3 linked regions of the Drosophila melanogaster genome follow. The protein of the gene in region 1 interacts with the protein of each later gene in a pairwise test. Each region holds a gene or a part of one and is shown on either strand. Other genes may lie near its edges.

The links. Proteins that work in one complex are often made in the same cells at the same time.
Region 2: the proteins of Sirt2 (region 1) and dimm interact in a two-hybrid assay, tested with the Drosophila melanogaster proteins (one large-scale study listed by BioGRID).
Region 3: the proteins of Sirt2 (region 1) and Sf3b3 interact in a two-hybrid assay, tested with the Drosophila melanogaster proteins (one large-scale study listed by BioGRID).

The regions. Positions count from the first base shown.
Region 1 is NT_033777.3:20,324,882-20,332,430, forward strand, and holds Sirt2 (sirtuin 2), read left to right. Parts: upstream 1-3,583; 5' UTR 3,584-3,707; coding exon 3,708-3,792; intron 3,793-3,847; coding exon 3,848-3,939; intron 3,940-3,995; coding exon 3,996-4,092; intron 4,093-4,147; coding exon 4,148-5,034; 3' UTR 5,035-6,034; downstream 6,035-7,549. Other genes in the region: CG4360 (uncharacterized protein), read right to left, coding at 748-1,271, 1,435-1,917, 1,992-2,655.
Region 2 is NT_033779.5:21,329,239-21,336,783, forward strand, and holds the start of dimm (dimmed), read left to right. Parts: upstream 1-2,517; 5' UTR 2,518-2,788; intron 2,789-7,545. UniProt on the Drosophila melanogaster protein: Transcription factor that regulates neurosecretory (NS) cell function and neuroendocrine cell fate. Acts as a master regulator of common NS functions such as Phm expression and neuropeptide production.
Region 3 is NT_037436.4:825,358-835,774, reverse strand, and holds Sf3b3 (splicing factor 3b subunit 3), read left to right. Parts: upstream 1-2,389; 5' UTR 2,390-2,515; intron 2,516-2,565; exon of another isoform or gene 2,566-2,713; intron 2,714-2,799; 5' UTR 2,800-2,834; coding exon 2,835-3,060; intron 3,061-3,135; exon of another isoform or gene 3,136-3,288; intron 3,289-3,367; coding exon 3,368-3,733; intron 3,734-3,766; exon of another isoform or gene 3,767-3,905; intron 3,906-3,984; coding exon 3,985-4,459; intron 4,460-4,532; coding exon 4,533-4,867; intron 4,868-5,046; coding exon of another isoform or gene 5,047-5,054; exon of another isoform or gene 5,055-5,153; intron 5,154-5,263; exon of another isoform or gene 5,264-5,338; intron 5,339-5,433; coding exon 5,434-5,741; intron 5,742-5,782; exon of another isoform or gene 5,783-5,923; coding exon 5,924-7,897; 3' UTR 7,898-7,898; intron 7,899-7,931; exon of another isoform or gene 7,932-8,011; intron 8,012-8,077; 3' UTR 8,078-8,129; intron 8,130-8,154; exon of another isoform or gene 8,155-8,238; intron 8,239-8,305; 3' UTR 8,306-8,352; intron 8,353-8,391; exon of another isoform or gene 8,392-8,463; intron 8,464-8,538; 3' UTR 8,539-8,593; and 7 more. Other genes in the region: CG42553 (uncharacterized protein), read right to left, coding at 311-388, 445-996, 1,057-1,383, 1,440-1,598. UniProt on the Drosophila melanogaster protein: Involved in pre-mRNA splicing as a component of the splicing factor SF3B complex, a constituent of the spliceosome. SF3B complex is required for 'A' complex assembly formed by the stable binding of U2 snRNP to the branchpoint sequence (BPS) in pre-mRNA.

The DNA of each region.
Region 1 (7,549 bases):
ATGGATCGATTTGATTCCTCAAGAAGCTTCGGTGCTAAAGAAATCCTAATAACTCTTTGACCATTTTACCTTAAAACAAATAATATAACTTGAATTGTATCAGTTTTAAACAATATCAATATTTTTTTTTTTAGTAAGATGTTCCTTGTAAAGGAAATATAAAAGACAACAATTATGCATATACAGGCATAAAAGGTTATTGTGCAAAGTAGGTCACATCTAAATTTATTGTAGTCATTTTCCTTGCCATTCGAAAACAGCAACCAAACTTAAAAAGACGCCGATGATTCATTTACAAAGCTTTGAAAAGCGAGAAATTGATGGGTATTAAAAGATAATAAAACGTTTTAGACTAAATGGCTTTAAAGTGCCTTAAGATACCTTTAACACACCGACTCAAATCGAACCATCATGGGATAGTATAGAGTTTAGGCCTAAACACCCTGTATCATATCATCTGTGGCTTATGCCAACACGGCTAGCCTTAATTTACAATTGGACACGCATGTGGATCAGCTCTCTACGATATAGTTACATACAATTGCGCTCTGCACAGCAGGTAAATAACACTTTCGAGTATATATTCAAATATAGTATTCATGTAATCGTATTCGTATGCCGTATATGCGATCTATAAGTGTATGTGCTATGTGGCATGCATATTGCACTATTCCTCAATGGCTGCTTGACTGGCTGGCTGGCTGGCTGCGGACCTGGATCGCGTTGCGATCTGGATCTGAAGTGGGTCTAGCAGGTGTGCACCCGCAGGTGGTTTTGCAGTGTGCTTTTTTGCCGGAACTGTTTAGGACAAAAGGAACAGTTGTAGGGCTTTTCACCGGTGTGGATCTTCATGTGGTTGTTCAGCGTGGCCACCTGCCGGAAGTTGACCTCACAGATCTTGCACTTGTAGGGCTTCTCTCCGGTGTGCGTCTTGATGTGATTTACCAAGGTGCTCTGCTGTGAGAAGAACCGCTGGCAGACGCTGCAGCCAAACGGCCGGTCCGGATTGTCGCCCTTCAGCATGTTGATGGTGCCCACTACGGTCATCCGGCCCGACGGCGAGCCGCCCGCCTGGAAATGCTCCACCTTGGTGTTGGCCGCCGCCGTGGCCACTACCGAGCTGACCGTGGTGCTGCCGTCGAGGAAATGCAGTAGCGGATGGTGGTCCAGCTGGATGATGTTCGCCGTGCTACCGTGCAGGTTGTTCGGCAACAGGCCACTGGTCAGCTGCTGCGTCCCGGGCGCCAGAGGAGCGGGCATTGAGTGATCCACTGCAGATTGACGGTACGGAGTTGGATTGTTGGATGATTTGTTGAAGTTAGCATGCGTACAAGATTTAAATAAAAGCTTCGTTAGGGAAGAGCGTTAATAATCAATGCACACATGGATAACAGAAAGCGGCTCATTGGTAGGGCGAACACACAAGCGGCTCACCTGTGGCTGTGACGGCGCCTCCGCCGCCTCCTGCTCCACCGACGCCTCCAGGCGCTATCTGATGCGTGTGCGTCTTGAGGTGGTTGGTAAGGGTGCTCTGCTGGCGGAACTGCATGTGGCAGTAGGAACACGTGTACGGCTTGTCGCCCGTGTGGATCTTCTTGTGGTTGGCCAGCGTCGCCAGCTGGCTAAAGGACTTGTCACACGTTTCGCACTTGTACGGCTTAGGATCGATGTGGGTCCGCTCGTGGTTGTGCAGCGTGCTCAGCTGCGGGAAGCGGCGCTTGCAAACGCTACACTGGAACGGCTTCACCAGCTCCTCGGCCGCCGGCGAGCTGTAGCTGCCGGAATACAAGGTCTTTGAGATTTGGACGCGCTGATGCTGCTGCTGGTAGGCCTGGTGCATCTGGGACTTTCGGTGTTTGCCACTGCCCGTCTGCGGCTGATAGTTCAACAGGGAAGTTGGCGTGCTGGACTCCGCCGCTGTTGCCCGTAAGCGAAGCGAGAAATAGAGTTAGGTCATAAGGTCTATTGGGACGATGCGACCACACACTCACCCTTGTGCGTCTTGATGTGATTGATCAAGGTGCTCTGCTGGCGAAAGTCCTTGGCGCAGATGTTGCAGGTGAACGGCTTTTCTCCGGTGTGGATTTTCACGTGGTTGGTTAGCGTCGAGATCTGGCGGAAGGCCTTGTCGCAGTGTTTGCACTTGTAGGGCCGCTCGTCCGTGTGGATCTTCATGTGGTTGCGTAACGTGGTCAGCTGCCGGAACTTGTTCTTGCACACGTGGCACTGTTTCTTCTTGCGCGGATCGTCCACCACCACCTCCTCCTCGCTAATCACGCTCTGCACCTCCTGTTTCATAGGAGAAATGGGCGTGTGGCTGCCCCCGCCTCCTCCGCCACTGTTCGCTGTTGTAGTGGATATGTCCAGCAAATGGACCAGCGGGTGCTGTGGATGGAGCATGGCTTGGTGGGTAGGGTGCTGGATGGCCTGCACGGCGGTGAGTTGATGCAGCGCAAAGGGACTCTGTTGCAGGCTGGCCAGTGTGGTGGGCTGCTGCTGTCCCGAGTTGGGACCCGGTCCAGATCCACCATTACTCCCTCCTCCACCGCCACCGCCACCTCCTCCTCCGCCGCCACCGCCATGGGAGGCTGGCAGTTGGTAGTGCTGATAGTTGGCCATGGCTGCCGTGGCGGCTGTCGCATGGTTCAGATGCATGATATTCGAGAGATATGATCCTAGCGTGGATCTACAGTCTGCCCATCGGCGGCGTTACACAATGGCGGCCACCGACGACCCTCGGCCATTCCCCGCCCCCGCAGTTGCTTCCACTGCGCCGCTCCTTTTGGGGCCTTTTTTGATTTGTTATTTCAGTCGTCTGGTTTGCACTTCTGTGTACTTTTGCTGCGCTGCTGCTGCTTCTTCTTCTTCTCTTCTTCAACACGCTGCTTACGCTTCCACGTAGCGATTGGGAGGGCCTGAATCCGCGGCCACTTTGTCGCGCACTTCCCCACGATCAGTTTCCACCGTTTTCGCTCGCTTTTGGGGCGCTTTCTCCGCCGTTTCTGCAGTTTTTCCAGGCCACGCTCTTTTTGTATCCGTATCCTTATCAAAACAAAAATGACTGGCGTGGTTTTCCAGGGCTGAGCGAACGGGCAGAGCTGCACCCCCGCCGAACATCGAGTAATCGACTATCGGCCGGCCAGGGCTGGTGGCGCTAGAGAGCCTAACACTGGGTGGGTCGATAACAGCTATCGATTATTTGGACACTCCGTGCTGACAATTCAGCTGATTTTAACCTTTCAATTAGTTTATATTCAGATATCAACAAAGTGTAATTGTTATTTTATCTATACTCGATTTTGTAACTTTGCGCCCTTCTTAGCTTTAGTTATTCTATTATTCGGTTCCTTTTTGTTTAATGAGTCATAATATGTTCTAACCGTTACAAACACATATTTATTTGCGACCCTTAATAAATCGCTGTTAAATAAAAATCTTTCATTGATAGGCTACTTAAAGTAATTATAATATTTTGGTTTGCTCGCACAAATTTGATTTTAAAATCTAAATCAATAAGCAATGAAATTAAAATTCTAGCTTTTTAATAGCTGTTAGAGATAACTTATTCGTTAGCCTAAACCTATCGATAGTTGTCAGAACTTGTTTTGCTTTTTACGTTAAAACAAAACGCAACATAAACAATTGGGAGAATTCATCACACTATCCTCAGATTTACATACTTTCACCGGAAGGTGAATCTGTTTACCATGGGCGACATCGAAGTAAAGAAGGAGGAACAACCGACGACGCCCTCCAATTCCTCGTCCAGTGACGACGACGAGGAGGCCCCAGGCTAGTCTAAATAGTTAGGTCTTTACTGTCACTCATTAATTGAATTGAATTCTAGACGACACAATGGATAAGGTTCGACGCTTCTTTGCAAACACTCTACATCTCGGCGGCTCCTCGGACGCAAAGGAGGAAGTTAAAGTAGAGAAGGTGAGCGGAGCACCCGATAATTTGATTATCATATTGATTAAATCGCAAATTTGCAGGTTATTCCAGATTTGAGTTTTGACGGCTTTGCCGAACATTGGCGTGTGCATGGTTTCCGCAAGATTGTGACCATGGTGGGAGCCGGCATATCTACATGTTGGTACATTCTATATACCATTGTAAAAACTTACTAAGTTATCGCCATTCCTAGCTGCTGGCATTCCGGATTTCAGATCCCCAGGTTCCGGGTTATACAGCAATCTGAAGAAGTACGAGCTGCCACATCCTACGGCCATATTCGATCTGGACTACTTCGAAAAGAATCCAGCGCCGTTTTTTGCACTGGCCAAGGAACTTTACCCTGGATCCTTCATTCCCACGCCGGCCCACTACTTTATCCGTTTGCTTAACGACAAGGGACTACTGCAGCGCCACTACACCCAGAACATAGACACGCTAGACCGGCTTACTGGCCTGCCCGAGGACAAGATCATTGAGGCCCATGGCAGCTTCCACACCAACCACTGCATTAAGTGCCGCAAGGAGTACGACATGGACTGGATGAAGGCGGAGATCTTCGCCGATCGTCTGCCCAAATGCCAAAAGTGCCAAGGCGTTGTTAAACCAGACATTGTTTTCTTTGGCGAAAACTTGCCAAAGAGATTTTACTCCAGTCCTGAAGAGGATTTCCAGGATTGCGATCTGCTGATCATCATGGGCACATCGTTGGAAGTGCAACCGTTTGCTTCACTGGTGTGGAGACCAGGACCACGTTGCATTCGCCTCTTGATCAATCGCGATGCAGTGGGTCAGGCCAGCTGTGTGCTCTTTATGGATCCCAACACGCGATCGCTACTCTTCGATAAGCCCAATAACACTAGGGATGTGGCCTTTCTGGGCGACTGTGATGCTGGCGTAATGGCTCTGGCCAAAGCCTTGGGCTGGGACCAAGAGCTGCAGCAGCTAATTACAAGTGAAAGGAAGAAACTGAGCGGCAGCCAGAATAGTGAGGAGCTGCAACAAGGCAAAGAGAAACCGCAATCGGACCCGGATAAGATGACTTCGGGCGATAGGGACAAGAAGGATGCTTCGCTTTAGACCCTAAGATTAGTTAGTAACATCCGTAGTTAATTTGTAGTTGAATTGTGCAATTTGTTTACATGTGGATTACGTGTATAAAGCGGACAATGCCAAGCGCAGGCATTGCTGGCTAATACCGCGAGCTTTCTTTCTCCTCCGTTTCCGGCATTCAATTATTCAAGTGCCATTTGTGAGCCATTAGCGTGTCCCTTTTGGCCGGGCCACCATAAACCGCAAAAACTGATTGAGTTGCTCTGCCGTTTCCGGCGCACAAAAAGCAGCAAACCGCCAACAAAGGTTAACTCTCGACATGTTTCTGTTTCGTTTTCTGCTCTGATCCGGGCTTGGCTATGGATTTCGATGCTGGTGTTGGTGTTGGTGCTGATGCTGATTTCGATTCAGTTACAGCTGCCCAGCCCCTCGACATGGCTCGACCGCTGCTGTGGGCGTGGCATGTGGCATTCTAACTGCCTGTTTGTGTGGCTTACACGGATGCTGCTCCTGCTCCTGCTCCTCCTCCTGCTGCTGCTGCTACTGCTGCATCAACTTAATGACTCGCAATCTGTCCTGCAGAAGCACACACGCACAAAGCGAAAGAGACACACACGGTAGACCGGTAATGAAGCTTCTGCGGTGAATTGGCCAATAGAAAATACGTACGGGCAGGACTAATTAAAACCAAGCTCGCAATCGGGCCAGCGGATAGCTACTGCCGGGGTACACAACCGGATATTGTTAATCGTTGACAGGGGCGACGGTTCGGAGGTGGATGCATGGTATGATGGGAGGCATCCCAGCCTGTCAACTTCGGGACATGAATGGCTGCAGATGCATTAGGAAATCAAATGCAGCCACGGAAATATTGATAGCCACGCAATTTGTTGCAGTTTCAGCTGCCACTGCTGTTGCCATTGGAATTGCACTTGCTTTTGGCCCAAAACTTTTGCAATTAAAGCTAATGGCCTAAGATCTTGTCTATGTGCAATTTTCCCGAGTCTTGCCTTCTCAGCGAATGTTTTGCTGCACAAATAAAAATTATTTGTGTTCGCATGAAAAAGTTAAATAAATATCGATTAGCTCATCACGTTACGTTATTCAATACAAAGATTAGTTTGAAACATAAAAATAAATACGAAAAAGAAATATTCAGACTAACTGTTCACACATGAACACGAATATATTTAAAGACTTACAATTTTGGGCTCCGTTCATATCTTATGTAAATGAATCGAGAGCGATAAATTATATTTAGGATTTTGTTATCTAAGGCGACATGGGTGCATTGCTCAAAAACATGTAATTTAAGTGCACACTACATGAGTCAGTCACTTGAGATCTTTCCCCGCCTCCTAAAATAGTCCCTTAGTGGGAGACCACAGATAAGGTCCTCGCCGCTCAAGATAGGCAGATGTGCCCGAGCGTGGGACCTCGATAAGGCGGGGACTATTTACTTAGGCCTCTGCGTAGGCCATTTACTTTAAGATGCGATTCTCATGTCACCTATTTAAACCGAAGATATTTCCAAATAAAATCAGTTTCTTACAAAAACTCAACGAGTAAAGTCTTCTTATTTGGGATTTTACACTAACTATTGTGCTTATAAAGTGTTATATGTAATTTTTAATCAATTGACGCGAAAATGTTTAAATAATTAAATTTTCATAATATTCCTTTTTTCACAAGGATGTGATATAAAATTAAGATTGTATTGTATATTTAGTTGTGCAATAAAAAGTATGACTCTTGTATGGCATTAGCTATATTAATATGTTTAAATTAAATCATATTTATCTGGAAAACCTTTCATCTTTTTATATTATTTGTAGATGACCTAACGTAGAAAATAGGTTCTTCTAGCTTTTTGTCAGTGTCTCGGCCCACTCAGTCAAAATTGAGTCAAGTTGGCTCAATATTAACTTGACTTTCACCCCTCCTTGCGAGAAATGCGGAACGCCATTAAGTGCACTCCATACACACGCCATTGAGGAAGCCGGGTTTGTGGTAACCGAGGGAGGGGGCAGGTCATATTTGAGTGAGCATGTTTCATATTTGTAATCAAAATGCGATGCTTGCGAATCAGACCCAAGCTTCAACCATCACCACCCCCTCTACTCGCTGCGAGCCTGTTCATCAATGGCTTGGTAAGAAAGGCGGGGGGTTGATGAAATCGTGGACATTCCACGATGTCATCAGCGGCAGCTGCGCTCGCGCTTTGATATTGAATTCTTAACATGATTGTGTGGCGCACAGCTTGGCCGGGAATTGATTGAGCGCCCAAACAGAGAACCCATTTTGAACAAGGCCAATAACTCAGACGGGGCTAATAAAGCTGGGATCGCCATTGATTGTTAGGCCCTGGCCACAAACATATTTAATGGTCGTTTACTCTAAAATACATGCGTGGTTATCGTAGCGCAATCTTTATGAATATTTTATTATTTCTTTAATAAAAAGAAAGCAGAAGGAACCGCCACGGCGGCTGCCAAATGCCGTCCTCAAAACGCAATTTGTGTCAATAAATGTGGGTACAAGC
Region 2 (7,545 bases), on another chromosome or scaffold:
ATTCCAACTTTGACTTGGAATAAACAATTACAATTCCAGCAGTGAACTTAACATATTTTTTTTTCTTAGTGTTCTATACATGAAAGTTTTATCCATGCAATATTGCAGCAATTATTGAAATCCCTTTGATCCAAATCAAACAAAAGAAATATTAGTCATATAAAAAACCGCATACGCACATATTCGTGGAGGGAAGCTCGCAACATTCGAATAAGCAAAATAGCTTTCCTAGCAACATTTCATTATCTGCCGACAATAGTTTATCATGAGATAAAGCCCTCCCGATAAGGGCATAAGCACTGTGATAACCAACAGCAACAAGAGCGTGGACAAACAGACGATAATAATAATAACAGTATACAACTCACTCAGTCAATCGGAGTTGGTAACAAAGGAGCTGGCGACAGCCAAGTGGAAAGTCAGCCGCAGTCGAATGCAGGCCGTCGCAAGCAACATGCGTCACATGTACTAATCAGGCTAGTCATCCGCCTCTCACTTAGACCCTTGCACTATGGGAAATTTACCCACTTTTTCTGGCTAAAAGCCATTTTCTGAAAGTCGGTCGATTAATGCAATATTTAATAAGTCTATTCATAATTGACCAATGTTTAGAAATAAATATATATGGAGCAACAACAAAGAAATATGCTGTTAAAAACATCTGTTGCGTCTACAAAAACATTTACGTTAAGTTTTTCCTCCGTTACAAAAGTTGTAATGAAGCAGCTGATTTAAGTGTATTAAGTTTATGTGACTGTCAAAATAAAAAAAAATCGTGTTGTACCCAAAATTGAGTAAAATATAAATTTCCTTACAAAAGCATTTGTTTGATAAAGACTTAACTTAAAAAGTCCATCAATGAAATGTACCTCATGTTGTAGCTTTGTATTCTTGTTAAGTTTTTTATGCTAAAAAGGAGTTCAACAAGGCGGTTGCTGATTTGTTGCTGATTTGTTTTATTATTATACCCGTTACTCGTAGAGTAAATAAATTCGTTGAAAAGTATGTAACTGTCAGAAGGAAGCGATTAAGACTATATAAAGTATATGTTCTTGATCAGGATCAATAACCGAGTCGATCTTATCATGTCCGTCTGTCCGACTATCCGTATGAAGATCTGGCCCTGTCCGTCCGTATGAACGGCGAGATTTCAGGAACTATAAAAGCTAGAAGGTTGAGATGCAGCAGACAGATTCTAGAGACAGACACAAGTTTGTTGACCCATTTTTCCACGCCCACTCTAACGCCCTAAAACCGCCTAAACGGCCGCATTTTGTGAAATGTTGAAATGTTTTCAAAATTGTATTATTCTTGTAAATTCCTATCGATTTGACAAAAACATTTTTGCCACGCTCACTCTAACGCCCTAAAGCCGCCGAACCGGTTAAACCCACACTTTGGAAATTTTTTCTCATTTTATTCCCCAAAAATGATTTATTCCCCAATCTGATAGTCGGAGAACTCGACTATAGCATTCTCTTTTGTTTTTGTTAGTATTATTTTATATAAAGGAGAATTCCCTTTACGAAAATTAGTTAATTAAATATAAGGCGTGGTGCCACGCCCACAGTTTTGGAAGTCTCATAGATATGGTCTAGTATAAGTCAATGTAAGAAAAGAAAAACCAAATATCTTACTCCGTTCTGGAGTTATTCATTTTGGTCAGAAAAAGTGGTAAAATTTCCCATAGTCCCTTGTGGGTGCCCCTGCCCTATGGCTCAATACCCCCCTCTGGAGTTGAGCCTGAGCACGTGGTGTCCATGTCTAGGAACTCCGAGCCACAATCCACCCCGTTGGGCAAATATGTGGTGGCGTTGGAACTGCATCTGTGTATGTGTGAGCTAGCCTGGGACAACGTGCCGGGAAGGGTATATTCGTTTTACGTTTTTACGTTCGTTTTTCATGGGACCTAGTACTTATTGATATAATGTCGGAGTGAGTAGAGGAACGTCATGCCCTGCCAACGGAGTTTTGGTTTGATAAATACTTAATATTTCGCATTTGAGTTTCGAGTTGAGTTTATTTAATTTTGGGTTCGAAAACAAACACTTTCTTGGTTTTGCAGTCATTTGGCTATGAAACTTTAAAAATAGTGCAGGAAATACCATTACACTTTAATGTGTCGAACGGAACTCGCATTAGATACATTCGTAAACATTTTCATATAAAAAAAATTTATTCAAACAGTTACTTAGTATTTATATTAAGGAGTTATCGTGGGTACGGACTGCAATGTCAATATGCAGGCATTAATTAAAGGACCCCAGATAACATAATCCTCTAATTTCAGCGGTGCCACCTCAATACTTTGGAAAATACGAAAAAAAACACTCTGACTCAGAAATCCACTCCGTTTTTGAGTATTTTCAGTTGCTCTCCATTCGCCAGTCTGTTTCGACTCAGGCTCTCGTGCGGGCGGAAGCTCCAGCCCCCTCTGCTGGGTGGACTTGTTGCTCGACTCGACTCCCATCGGCCAGGCTTGTGATTCGTCTTTTGTCTGGACTCGGGTCGGCCGATGGCACCGCTTCGTTCATTCAGCCATTCCACAAGTGGCCGTCATCACCAGCGCTTCCGCGTTTCCGGTAATCGTTGTGCGCTCCCGAGATATTTGATTCGAATTGTGCGGAAGTTTTTAAAAAATACTATTGCTTAGAATTCGAAAACGAAAAAGGATAGCCAAGGATCGATATATATTTAGCAAAAATGAAATGCAGCGTGAATTGTGAGAGTTGTTGAAAAGTGACTTAAATATTTAAAAACATCGTGGATTAATTACATCCAAGTACATGTAAGTTGTCAGTACAATTAAGCTGGCTGAAATGCGTTGTTGGGTTGAGTTCAACAATTTTGACAAAGTAAACTTACCTTATAAAATAAAGCCGACTAATTATGAAAAGCTTACACAAGCAAACCATTGAAAAATAAAAGAAAGCATAGAAAACTAATTTTATTTCTTTTCAACAATCGGTAGTCATTCGGGCTTGGGATAAGTTTACTTCATTTACAAAATTCCCCATACACTTGTCAACTGCAGTATACGTTGTTGTAACTTAGCGGGTGGACCGCACAGAAAAGGCAAACAATTGCTCACAAAAGTATGCTTTATTTAATAGAAAGCGTAATAAATATTACACAAGACCAGGTGCAGGTTGCATCGCTAAGATCCTCAAACCCCTATTTAGCGCTAACAAAGAAAGTGAAATTTTCTGTTAAGTCTCCAAAGGAAGAAGTAGACATTTCTATTGTAATGCCTTGATCGAAGTATGGTTTAACCATTCCCATGAGATGACATTTAAAGGTTGTGCGGAAGTTTTCAAAATAAATGAGTCCAAGAATTTTCTAGGATTATACGTTGGATTCAGGCTATTCATCTACTGTTGGCTAATCGAATGTTAAAATTATTCTCTCCCTTTAAAAGCCAATTGAATTATAAATACTGTTTTATTGTTTAATAAAAATAGGCGATATACAAATTAAAGAAACGGTTAAATGGAATTTATAAATCTGTCCTTTGAATAGACCCCCGATGTGTTAAGCCATGTCACTTTTCTCAACATTTCTTAAGAGACCCCAAAGAGTCTGAAGTCCAAGGAGCTGTTGTCGTTAAATAATAGCGACACTTTTGTTTCATTCAACACCGACGACGGAATAAATGCACTGCAAAGTGCGCGGTTTCTAACAACAAAGTCAATGCACATTTCTCGTCCCGCGTATTCCTTGGTCTGTCTCACGCTTTAAACGCTGCTGCAGGTTCCGGGTCAAATGCTGGTAAGCCAAAGGGCATAACCATAACAACGACAATGCGGCAAAAGCGTTTCATCGGTAAATGTTTTTTATACTCCTCAACTCTTGGCAAAAAAAGTATATTGTATACATACAAAAGAGTTTAGCAAGAAGTTGATGTATTCGCAAATTAAAGAGAATATTAAGCGGGTAAACTTTTATTTCATAAAAATAAACCGCCATAATTTTTAATTCATTTTTGGGACATGTTTCATTTATCTTTGCATTGCGATATAATTAAAATAGATGGTATGAAACCTTAATTTTTTAATCGTAATGACTTAAACATTCTGGCCACGCCCACTCTTACGCAAGCATGATTTTTTTCTAGACAGTACGGTGATATATAGTATGTTACATGAACCGTGTAGTTACAGTGCCCTATAATGGTGAACCGGTTCGCGAGCCAAAACTCTTTTAAATAATCATTACTTTTGCTAAATGAAAATCTTTCACAAATTCACATACTTATACACATTAAAGTGAAGCTAACAACGTGACAACAATTGATGTCCGGCAAGCATCGCATCTTGGGGTCTCTCTTTTTCCAGAACCCTAATACTTATCCGTGGTTCAGCAGCAAGCACCTCGATGATAGTGTCTTCTCTGGAAGCGAAAAAAGGCGTCGCCGGATGTAGTAAAATAGTCGTCCTCGCAGTTGTCCTGTGCACAGCCTTGATCCGAATTCTCATAAGTCCCTGAGATCAGCAAGGAGACCATTTTGGCAACGAAAATCACACGCCTGCTGTTGACTTCTGCGTTGGCCGATTAAACCCAACCAAACCCAAAACTTTTAGAAGTCCGAAGTTCTCATCGACTCAGGCTCTTTATATACAAAATCCATAGCCATATACAGAATCACAAGAGTTTGTGAACACCACTGTACCATTACAAAAGACAAGCAATCGACGATGTACAGCACTGCGCTAAATGAAACCAAAAGATGGCCTTAACTATAATGGCTCGCAATATCTATCTGGTGATGTTTTAAACGAATAAAGTCGAATTCTTGTTCAAAGAGGGCATTTTTCGTGGTCAGTGGCAGTGCAAACCGCTGCATATGACCGACCGCGATTTTTTAGAGCACCTTCGATCTGGTGAAAAAATATTATCAGTTACTAAAACCGCAGTTTACACTTCTTTTTAGTTTTTTTGTTTTAAGGGTGTGCAAACGATAAGAAAATAATAATAATGGTTTTGCAAACGTTTTTAATTGATAATATTTAGTTGTAAGCGATGGTCAAACGCTTTATGTCATATATTTTCTAAATTATACATTTTTTCAAATTCTAAAAGGTGGTCAAACGTGAACAAACAATGGTATTGCGATTTAAAAAAAAAACCTCAACTTCTTGATTTTATATCTTTTTCGAAAATTCTGATTTCAAAAATTGGACGTGGCAAACGATACCAGATTTCAAATTAAAAGAAATTCGATTTTTCCGAACCTAGCAGTCCTTGAGCTATAAAAGCTAAAAGGTTGAGGTTAAGCATACAGATTCTAGAGACATAGAAGCAGCGCAAGTTTGTTGACCCATTTTGCCACACCTACAAACTTACCAAACCTGTCACGCCCGTGCTTTTGAAAAATGTTTTGATCTTTTTTCATATTTTCGCTGGTGTTGTAAATTTGATAAACAAAACTTTTTGCTATGCCCACTCTAACCCCCATAAACCGCCTATTTCATTCTAATTGTATTCTGATATCTGGGTTCCTGATAGTCGGGGAACTCCACTATAGCATAGTCTTTTGTTATTGCTGTGCACGGGGAATTAAACGTCACAATCAGCGAGTAAAAACACTAAAAATTATACACGTCATCATTAACTATTATCTAGGTGCCTCTTCCTTTCTGCACGTCTTTAATTATTACTTTCAGAATGTTAGTATGAAATTCATCTTATTCCTAAAGCAGAACTTATGTGATGTGTCATGTGGCCAGATGGCATCATTTTTTTCGTTAAAAAAGTATTTGACATTGAGAAAACTACTGCATAAACGATCGAGAATCGCTCTCTATTCGTGAATAGAGGGGAAAATATTATAGGCAAGTTCGTCATCTTGGATACATTTCGCAGGGTGTCCGATAATGTAGCCTGTAGTGCAATCACCATCGCCATGTCTCCGTCTGTCAGTTTACAGCAAATCCACGATGCACAGGGATCTGATGTCAAGCTAATGATAGGAAATACTTCTCTTCAACGAATTCACGACGAAATTATCAACTAATTTCGTTTAAGGTGGGCGAAGGCTATTCCTGTGACACTTGTTGGTCAGAATAGGTTCTACGTTTCGAACCACCTAACAAAAACTCAATTCATTTACTCTCTCATCTGTCGGGCTCCACAGATCTTTGTAAATCTTTTGTAAGGCATTTGTCAGTAATGTAAAAAAAAGAAAGAATGCTATAGTCGAGTTCCCCTACCTATCCCCCATCAGGTACCCGTTACTCAGCTAGTGTGAATGCGAACGCGAAATTTTATAATTTTTCGATAGATATTGGAGAATAAAATGAGAAAAACTTAAAAATATTTTCTAAAGTGTTCGGCGGTTCGGCGGCTTTAGGGCGTTAGAGTGGGCGTGACAAAAAGTTGTTTAGCAAATCGTTCCTTTGTTTTAATAATCTAGCGGAATATACAAGGCTATTTACTATATCTAAATACTACTTCCAAATTTTGAAATCAATTTAGAATAAAGACGTCGGGAGTTATTTTTATTTTTTTATTTTTTAACGATAAAAGCTGGAGCATTGAGATTTTTGTCATTTTATTATTTTTCTTGCCACAAAATTGTTAATGCTTCTTGTTCGCCGTCCCTCTACCTTAGTAATACACGTAACACGTAAAGGCTAGGTTTCCCGAACATAAATAGTTAATCTATTCTAAATTAGAACCATTAGCCGATTCCATCCCAAAATTTTCGTTTGTCCGTAAAAGCTTTGAGAGTTTTTTATCTAGTCAATAGCCACTGTAGCTAGTATTTCGGCCATAAGGTATAAATTTCTCAGGCACTAAAATATGGTGAAGTAAAAGCGGAAACATTTATTTCTGGTCATGAATATTCATCTAAATGTCACAATGGGTTAACACATTTACCATTAATTAAAAAGTTATGAGATTATATGTATAGCCGCTGCTAGATTACCTTATTTTTTTTTGGCAGGGAGTAAAGTAACGTGTATATTGTAGTCGAGGTAAACAAATATAGCGTTTATGTTATTAATGCAATAGATTCGACGTATGCTTCCAGCCTACTGCAAGTGGGAAGAGCTACTTTAGAACTCAACATTCCCATTGACACCTGCAGTAGGCTGAACCCCTCACCAAGTAGGTCTCACGGCCATAAGGAGGCCTCCCATTTCAAGCATAGAGGCTAGGGACTTGCTCAGCCACAAAAGACGCCTCAGAAGACAGTATTGAAGTACTACTAATAGACTGCGCCGTCTGCTAGCTAGCTAGAAACTCACGGGAGGCATCAAAAGACAGCCATTGTTTCAATCACCAAGTCAGGATCGAGGTAGCAATTGGCTTAAGACGGATTATGAGAAAGCACGTGCTTTCGCTTCGCACCTGTCCTCCACCTTTATGCCCTTTAATTTAACGGACGACACCAATCGTGAAACCACTCCGACTGCTCAGACACGTCCTATAAGACATACCTCACTGCAGGAAGTTATGATACAACTGAAGGCTTTGCAACCCAAAAAAAAAACCCTGGTTACGATGGCATAGATAACCGAACTGCGAAATTTCTACCACGCA
Region 3 (10,417 bases), on another chromosome or scaffold:
TAAATTTTAATAATTATATTCCCAATTGCAATATTGCCTGTTTTATGCAAGCAAAATGTCGTCTATTTTTTTGCAAGAACGCAGTTTCCAAAATTTCACTTTTGTTTACATATGTTTTATGCGCGAGGTGTGGCAGCTCTGTCATGACAACAATCGATAAGAGTCGTATGTATCGTTTCGAATTTTTAAAAACCAATCGAATTCAAATTTGAAGGATCTTTATTTAATAATTATAACAACTTTGTGTAGAGCAGTTTTTGAAAAAAAATCACATAAAATTTATTTGAATAGCCTTAACGCTTATTGGTTTTTAAAGCGGTCTTCCTGTTGCCTGCTTACCTTCGGTAAGTGCAACTGAAGCGTGTACAAAAACAGGCACATTGATACCCTGTAAAGCACAGACATTAAAGACAGGACAAAATCACATTTTCCATTCATGCATACCTGCATCTTAGCTGATCTCACAAAGGCCTTATTCGAAGTCACAGTGAAAATTTGCCTGGCCATGCCGAAACTAAAGATTTTCAGACTTCGCTCGTTTACGTTGGCAGTGAAACGTATGTGGGAGAATTCTTCGGGTATTGTTTCCACATCCGGATAAACGGTGACCCGTTTCATCAGTTCCTCGGCTCGCTTCCGTTCGCCCTCGCCGCCTACAATATCCAAAATACTCTGGAAGGCATCGTAGGCTAACTGGCAGCAGACCAAGGTTTTTCCCTCTAGGATTTTCTCGAGGAGCGGTTTTAGCGGCGAGGCTCTTTCCCTTTCCGCCTGTTCGGTGAGCAGAGGTTCCTTGTAGACCCAATTGGCGGATCCGTTGGTGAGCGCACTAACGTAGGCCAGCAATGTGGTCACATCTAGATTCAGTTCGTTCGACGTCGTGGCGTACATATCCAAGTCGGTGTCTGGTGAGTCCAGGGAAGCAGTTTGTACGCCCATTTCCATTAGCTCTTCATGCAGGGAGTCCTCGATTTTGTTGGAGAAGTAGAATACTATCTAAAAGGCAGTATATCAGATGATGAATGCTGTCTAGGGTAGCATACTATTAGGCATTACCTTCGGCCTCTGGAACATGCAGAAACTAAGTTCGCTGGCCTCCAGATAATCCTCCGCCTGGTCGATGACACTTCGGGCTCCGATGCTGACACATCCCCTGGCCGCGTCCTCGACGGACTTCGAGTTCCTGGCTATCACCTTCACCCACTTGAGTCCATTGTTGGCCACGATGTCGACTCTCAGGGGACTATCCCTAGACTCCAGGCGGAATACGGCATTGATGTCGACTACTCCTTGTTGCAAACGCAGAGTTTTAATGAGAAAATCGTAGTAAACAAAGTTACTGCTGGTTATGTGGTGTTCCTTTACGGACCTTGTAGTAATCACCTTGAAGGAAAATGCTTTTACTCAATGTTTTTATCATGAAAAATAGGCAAACAAACCTTATTTAGAAATTTGAGCTCTTGCTGAATTTTTCGCTGTACTTTGCTGACACCAGGCAAATCTTCGAAGTCTTTCAGCGCTTTCTTCAGCTCCTCGCCCAGTTTTACTTTCTTGTGGGCTTCTTCGTAGAGCTTTTCTCGATCCTCTTGCTCCTCCATATTAAAACGTTAGCAATATTTACAAAAATCACGAAATATTTGTTTTTAGCTGTCAGCTGTTTTGAAGAAGCAAAGATGCAATGACATTTCAGGTTTTACAACACTGACAATTCCATGACTGATTAGAGATGTCGCGAATCTGAAGTTGGTATATCGATAGTCAACAAACCTAGTTTACTAAGTAATAATTGATGATTTTTCTAATTAGTCTAATAACATGAGCCAACGCCGCGTAAAAATATACTCAAGTAGAGATCGAATAAACAGAAAAAAATAGTTGGGGACTGATCTATTTATTTTTTTTAAATACCTTTAAAGTTTTCTCCTTAATCATACCTTAATAGCATAGTATTGAGCCCAGCCCTTTAGCCACAATTCGGTGAGTGGTTTTGTTTTCATTTAAGCCCATGATAAAAATTTTTTAAGTTAAAGAAAGATAAAACGATTGATCCAGTACATATTTTTACAGATCCTTGAAATTTTCCATTTTTTCACAGAAAATTGCATATTATATGTTTAGCTTTTGAGGCAGTTTTTGGTATGTGGAACTGGGATTGGCCCATGGCAATTTCCGAATATTTAAATGTGGTATATTTAATAAAGGATAAATTCGATATATCTTGACCAGGATTTTTAGGAAACTTATGATTTCTGCAGCAACAATTTCCAGTAAAATAATTATTTAATTTATAATCAGTCTGAACCGGGCCTATTATCGATAGGAAAATCGACGGCCGCGCACTATCGATAAGTCAAGCCACATTTTATGCACCACCATTTTTACTTTTATAGTTCTTTTACTTTTTGTCGGCGAACAGAGCAGATGTGAAAATGAAGAGTTCTGAGTAATCAGGAAAATTCGAATCCAAAGGCATCGCTGGTGAAATGTGCTAATTCATCCATTTAACCAGCCGAAGGTAAACAAATACACGTGCTAGCACTGATATCTACTATTATTTAAGCGCTTTCCGCACGAAGTATCTCCAGAAATCAGAAATGTCTGTGCTTTGGTCGCATTTGAAGCGTGCTAAACTAAGAATTAAATGCTGCTTACTAGCATCGTTAGGCGACACGACTTTCCATACTGTGGCCATGGTTTTCAAAGTAGTACAAATTCACAAAAAAAAAAATACACCGCCATTCACGTGACTTTTTCCCTTGTCTGCAACTGTACCTAACCTCAACATTGCTTCTCTTGCAGTCGTGGACAAAAGTGAAAGAGTGTAGTGCTCCACCATGTATCTGTACAACCTGACCCTGCAGAAGGCCACCGGCGTGACCCACGCGGTCCACGGCAACTTCTCCGGCGGCAAGCAGCAGGAGGTCCTCCTGTCGCGTGGCAAGTCGCTGGAGCTACTGCGTCCGGACTCCAACACCGGCAAGGTGCACACCCTGCTCTCCACGGAGATATTCGGATGCGTTCGCGCCCTGATGGCCTTTCGACTGACGGGCGGCACTAAAGGTGAGTCTTTCAATTGTAATTTAGTTTTGTACCATCAATTGGGAGTAATGTATTGCTCCTATATAATCTATGTAAGTCGCACAAATCCCTATTGAGGCAACAGACGGCTAGTTGACCCCAGTAAGACCTTTGAACGCGTCTAAGTGCGAGAGAAACCGAAAGACTTGACGTCGCATTTGCCATAAACCAACTCAACGGAGTGGCGAATTGAAACTTCGAGTTACAAAGTCAATAAAATATCATTATAGTCATTAGAAAGTGTTAAATGTATGACCCTAATCTCGAATATCGTTACCTTGCTTTGCAGATTACATAGTTGTGGGCTCGGACTCGGGACGCATCGTGATCCTCGAGTACAATCCCTCCAAGAATGCTCTTGAAAAAGTGCACCAGGAGACGTTCGGAAAGTCGGGATGTCGCAGGATTGTGCCTGGGCAATACTTTGCCATCGATCCTAAAGGAAGAGCCGTGATGATTGGCGCCGTGGAGAAGCAAAAGCTGGCCTACATCATGAACCGGGACACGCAGGCTCGCCTCACGATCTCATCGCCCCTGGAGGCCCACAAATCGAATACACTGACATACCACATGGTCGGCGTGGATGTGGGCTTCGATAATCCCATGTTCGCCTGCCTAGAGATCGACTACGAAGAGGCCGACATGGATCCATCGGGTAAGCATCAACTAGGTGGCGTGTAGACCCTAGAAGGCGCTTTAATTCACAGGTTTAGTGGATCCACACCACGAACACTGACTGTACTTAGTGCCAGATAAATCGTGATCACTGAACCATTGGTGTTGCTGTAATTGCCTAGCCACACTTCACTGATTTGTGACCCACACTTCCTAATCTCAATTGATAACATTTTGATAGTACAATGCTATAGTCCTGTAACTAATCAGTGTCGCATCTATTTGTTCCAGGTGACGCCGCCCAGCGCACTCAGCAAACGCTGACTTTCTACGAGTTGGATCTCGGCTTAAACCACGTGGTTCGCAAATACTCGGAGCCCTTGGAAGAGCACGCCAATTTCTTGGTATCCGTGCCTGGGGGCAACGATGGTCCTTCGGGCGTGCTGATCTGCTCGGAGAACTACCTAACGTACAAGAATCTCGGCGATCAGCACGATATCCGCTGTCCCATTCCGCGCAGGAGAAACGATCTGGATGATCCCGAACGTGGTATGATCTTCATCTGCTCGGCCACACATCGCACCAAGAGCATGTACTTCTTCCTGCTGCAGACCGAGCAGGGAGACATCTTTAAGATCACCCTGGAAACGGACGATGATGTGGTCTCCGAGATCAAGCTAAAGTACTTCGATACAGTGCCGCCGGCAACTGCCATGTGCGTGCTAAAGACGGGTTTCCTGTTCGTGGCCAGCGAGTTTGGCAACCAGTGAGTATCTACAAATCATTCATTTGAGAATAATATGAATGGGTACTAATTGAGGTATTTGTGTAACCCTCAGCTATCTATATCAAATCGCTCATCTGGGTGACGACGATGACGAGCCGGAGTTCAGTTCGGCCATGCCTTTGGAGGAGGGTGAAACCTTCTTCTTTGCGCCACGTGCCCTAAAGAACCTGGTGCTTGTGGATGAACTGCCCTCTTTCGCACCGATCATCACCTCCCAGGTGGCTGATCTGGCCAACGAGGACACACCGCAACTGTACGTTCTTTGCGGACGAGGACCGCGTTCCACTCTGCGGGTGCTGCGCCACGGCCTCGAGGTGTCCGAGATGGCCGTTTCCGAACTGCCTGGTAATCCCAATGCGGTTTGGACTGTGAAGAAACGAGCTGATGGTGAGTGTGTCTGCGGGCATTAATCATGATTCCTAAGCTAAGATTAGACTAAGACTGAAACGTGGCTAATAACTCAACTGGTGCATTGATACAGATCGAGATATAGATTACACCTAGCTTTACGCACGATTCCAAACAAGTCCCACAAGTTATCAACCACCAGTTCTCTCTTATTTCAGGCGCTTAAACACAGACGGCAATATGTGTGAACTATCGAAAAAGACAAGCGATTAAAGAGAATTTCTCTCGTTTGTGTAATTTTAAATTGTCTTTTGTGAAGCGATAGGTAAGGCAACATTTACTGCAGCTCATAAGTCAAACAGATACTACAACTACCACTGCTACTATACCAATGAAAACAGAACAAAAGCTAACTATATTTAAGCCAGTCGGACATTGAACATGATGCGATATTTATCAACCGTGTTTCAGCTGAATTATCCATTGATTACAACTTGATAAACTGATTATTCAATGTCTTGTGTGATACGCAGATCTTTTTCGCTTGCTCGATTCAAACTGAAGTACTCACGTTCCAAGTATTGTTTTGCTCCCCTATTTTTTAGACGAGTTTGATGCCTATATCATCGTGTCCTTCGTGAATGCCACCCTGGTTTTGAGCATTGGCGAAACCGTCGAGGAAGTCACGGACAGCGGTTTCCTGGGCACCACGCCCACGCTCTGTTGTGCCGCCCTGGGCGATGATGCGCTGGTTCAGGTTTACCCCGATGGCATTCGACATATCCGATCCGACAAGCGTGTGAACGAGTGGAAGGCTCCGGGCAAGAAGTCCATTACCAAGTGCGCCGTGAATCAGCGCCAGGTGGTCATCACCTTGTCGGGCAGGGAGTTGGTCTACTTCGAAATGGATCCGGTAAGCAATTCTACTACTATATTACACTCAACTGTTGACTTCTTGCTCTGATGACAAAAACACGAAAAGAACAATCATGTTGAGACACTATGTGTCCTGCAGTGCTGAGCTTCAAAATCAACCAAAAGCCTTATCCTCGTTTACTTAACTTCACAACTAATGAATACATTTTATGCTTGCAGACTGGGGAGCTGAACGAGTACACGGAACGTTCCGAGATGCCTGCTGAGATTATGTGCATGGCCTTGGGAACTGTTCCGGAGGGCGAGCAGAGATCCTGGTTCTTGGCCGTCGGCCTGGCGGATAATACAGTGCGCATCTTATCGCTGGATCCCAACAACTGTCTCACTCCCTGCTCCATGCAGGCCCTGCCTTCGCCAGCCGAATCCCTTTGCCTGGTCGAAATGGGTCACACGGAGAGCACGACTCAGGGAGGTTTGGATGACGATGCTCCCGCTCAGCGCAGTGGCAACAATAAGGGAACCATTTACCTAAACATTGGCTTGAGCAACGGTGTCCTGCTGAGAACTGTGCTCGATCCTGTTTCCGGAGATTTGGCAGACACCCGAACGAGATATTTGGGTTCCCGACCCGTAAAGCTCTTCCGGATCAAGATGCAGGGATCCGAAGCGGTGCTGGCCATGTCCAGTCGAACCTGGCTGTCGTACTACCACCAAAATCGATTCCATTTGACGCCTCTGTCTTATGAAACCCTTGAGTATGCTTCTGGCTTCTCGAGCGAGCAGTGCAGCGAAGGTATCGTGGCTATATCCACCAACACCTTGAGGATCTTGGCCCTGGAGAAACTGGGAGCCGTCTTCAATCAAGTAGCGTTCCCCTTGCAGTACACTCCACGTACCTTTGTAATCCATCCGGATACGGGACGCATGCTAATTGCCGAAACCGATCACAACGCCTACACAGAGGATACGAAGAGTGCCCGAAAGGAGCAAATGGCGGAGGAGATGCGCAGTGCAGCTGGCGATGAGGAAAGGGAGTTGGCCCGCGAAATGGCCAATGCTTTCATCAACGAAGTCCTTCCCGAGGACGTGTTTTCGTCGCCCAAAGCAGGACTGGGTCTTTGGGCCTCGCAAATCCGTTGCCTGGACGCAATGCATGGTCAGACGATGTTTAGTGTGCCGCTCACCCAAAACGAGGCCATTATGTCGATGGCCATGCTGAAGTTCTCCATAGCGGCTGATGGCCGGTACTACCTGGCCGTGGGAATCGCCAAGGATCTGCAGCTGAATCCCAGGATTTCGCAAGGCGGCTGCATAGATATCTACAAAATAGATCCCACTTGCTCCAGTCTGGAATTCATGCACCGCACGGACATTGACGAGATTCCTGGAGCCCTGTGTGGCTTCCAGGGTCGTCTACTAGCTGGCTGCGGTCGAATGTTGCGAATCTACGATTTCGGCAAGAAGAAAATGCTGCGCAAATGCGAGAACAAGCACATTCCCTATCAGATTGTCAATATCCAAGCCATGGGTCATCGTGTTTACGTGTCGGATGTTCAGGAATCAGTATTTTTCATACGCTATCGTCGCGCGGAGAACCAGCTGATTATATTTGCCGATGACACGCATCCTCGATGGGTGACGGCCACCACCTTGCTGGACTATGATACCATAGCCATAGCCGATAAGTTTGGCAACCTGAGCATTCAGCGATTGCCCCACTCCGTAACGGACGATGTGGACGAGGATCCAACGGGCACCAAGTCTCTGTGGGATCGTGGCCTGCTGTCAGGTGCTTCACAGAAGTCGGAGAACATTTGCTCCTTCCATGTGGGCGAGATAATCATGTCGCTGCAGAAGGCAACGCTAATTCCTGGAGGATCGGAAGCCCTTATATACGCCACGCTAAGTGGCACTGTTGGAGCATTTGTTCCGTTCACCAGTCGCGAGGACTACGACTTCTTCCAACATCTGGAGATGCACATGCGCAATGAGAATCCTCCACTCTGTGGACGCGACCATCTCAGCTACAGGAGCTCGTATTATCCGGTCAAAAACGTACTCGACGGCGATCTCTGCGAGCAGTATCTGTCCATTGAGGCAGCCAAGCAGAAGAGCATAGCTGGCGACATGTTCCGCACTCCCAATCAGATCTGCAAGAAACTGGAGGATATTCGCACGCGATACGCCTTCTAAGGTGAGTTGGAATCGATATGCCTATGGGACATAGGTTTTTGTGATGACATAGCTATTTTACCTTGGGACACCTATGAAATGCCTTGATTAGCGTAAACGTCAATATCTGATAAATACTTTGCTGAATTTAGTCTTTTATGATTATTGAACAGAAAGCTAACAATTGTTTATATTTTGCAGATGCCAGCAAAGGAACACTTCAATATCATGGAAACTTTTCTTTTTTAACTAGGTAAGTTGGTTTCTATTTATAGTTGTTTTCAATGATGATTTTCGAGTTTTACCTTGGGACACCTATGAAATGCCTTGATTAGTGTAAAGTTATGTTTTTCTGATAACAAATTCAAGCGTTTATTGATTGAAAAGCAAAGAAATGTTATTAATTTTGTATTTCTCTTTCTATTGCAGTTTTCGTGGGCAAAACCAACAAACGCTGCACCTAAAACGTTTTAAAGGTAAGAAATTGTAACGATTAAGCCACATTTTCGTTGAGTTAAACAATGATGTTATTTTACATATGTTAGACTAATGAAATGATTTGATTGTAAATTAGTAACTGAGAATGTTTTTAAAATTAAAAATTTCAATACTTATTTATGATAATTACTGGATCGATTAGTAAATTGATGCTTTCTTTGCAGTTTAATCGGAAAATTCCAATGACCATTAGACCATTACATTAGGAACACTTTCAAGGTACGTAATATATATTTAAACCACTTCAATTTAAATAAGCTCTATGATGTTATTTTACATATGTTAGACTAATGAAATGATTTGATTGTAATTTAGTAACTGAGCTTATAGCTATATTTCACTGTGTTTAGCATTTTAATCGTGGTTAAATCATAACTAATTTCCTTTCTTCACTTGCAGATCTTCTTACGTTGGGGTATGTTGTGGCGCTTAATTCTAACTAAATTATACACTAGGTAAGTGATTAAACAAACAGTGCGCTTTGAATTGAAACTAATTCACAATTTCCTTTGCAGATCGTACATCTATACTAACTGCACATTAAATCACCGATCAACCACTAATCGACTGCCGCATATTTAAACTAGCATATAAGTCAGTGCAAACTCGACAAATTGCACAACCTAAATATAAACCCCTAATCATAAGCAATTTTTAACTTAAATAAAAGTAACTGAAAACAAAGCCAAGAATGCGAGGTGATTTTGTTGTGTGGTTCTGGCGGAGACGACGACACGCTTTGCATAATTCCATTTGAAGTTCGCCTGTCTTGTTGCGGCCTGATTATGGCCATTACCATGTGTCTTGGCCATTACATCTCGGCCTTGTTTGCACTGCTCTTCATTTTCCCGGCACGGAGAGTCCCGTTATGGGACAGATAGGCAGATATTTGCTAAACGCCTCGCTTTCCATCCATCCGCCCGGTATGTACATACGCAAAATCGTTGTAATTTGTTATGTTTGCGGCATAAGCACGGTAGTTATGCAAATTGTCTGTCGGCCCGGTGGTCGATCACTTGCTGCTCCCAAACGAGGCGAGTGGGGCCAGAAATGGCAACTTGGACTTTTACTAGCCAACGCTCAAGGCGGAGCAGCATTATTGGTCTGGATCACCCAGTTTAGAAAGTCAAAAGAAATATAATGAAAATCAAAGTAAGAGTGTAGAATTTAAAGGTATAATACCTTGTAAATTGGTTTCAGTAAATCAATTTGTGCATCCAAAATATATAGTATCTATAGTATCCATAAAATCGGACATCTCTGACATTCCATACTGTCTCGTTCCTGAAAATCCACAGAAGCAGCCTTGTTTGCGATCTGGAAAAGAGCTGTGCCATCTGGCTAAACGATTTATTAACTTCATTTCTAGATCATTAGATCGCATAACACGGACATTCGTCACTTGGCACTGGTTTTTCTCGGCTAGCCTCTTTTTTGCCCGACTGGCACGCAAGTGCAGTCTGCAATCTCCAATCTCTAGGCAGCATCTACGCATGCGATTCGCGCCGCCTTTCCTGTTCAGCTCCGCGATCTGTGCCTTCGATAAGGACAATCAGCGCTTGGCGCAAACACTTGGCACCCTTGGACAAAGGGGTGGAGGTGGGGAATGGATGGGGAGAACAGCCAGCCCTGCAAACACCTGCCACGCCCCTTCTGCGGCGCCTTGAAGCAGTTGCCATTTCTTCTGGGGGAGATGGGCAGATACGGCGTCGAGGAGATGAGCAGATGCCCAGCTGGAGATAAGACAAAGGCGAACTTCAGAGTGTTGGCAGGCTGACTAAGTAGAGTTTTAGCCAAAACTAAACTCACTTTACACACTCTATTTAATAACCTAATCTTAAATACATTCTGCAATAAGAAGTAAGAATTTAATAAATATTTTTAAAGTGATATTGATAGATACAGATTGAGTATTTCAAGTTGAAGATGTAGCTAGTTAGAAGTAAGGATCATCACTGATCCTTTGTTGTCGGGATATCAGAGCTTGGGATCGCAATCTGTTGGCCAGATCGCGGATTCGGATTCCGAGTTCACATTCGCAGG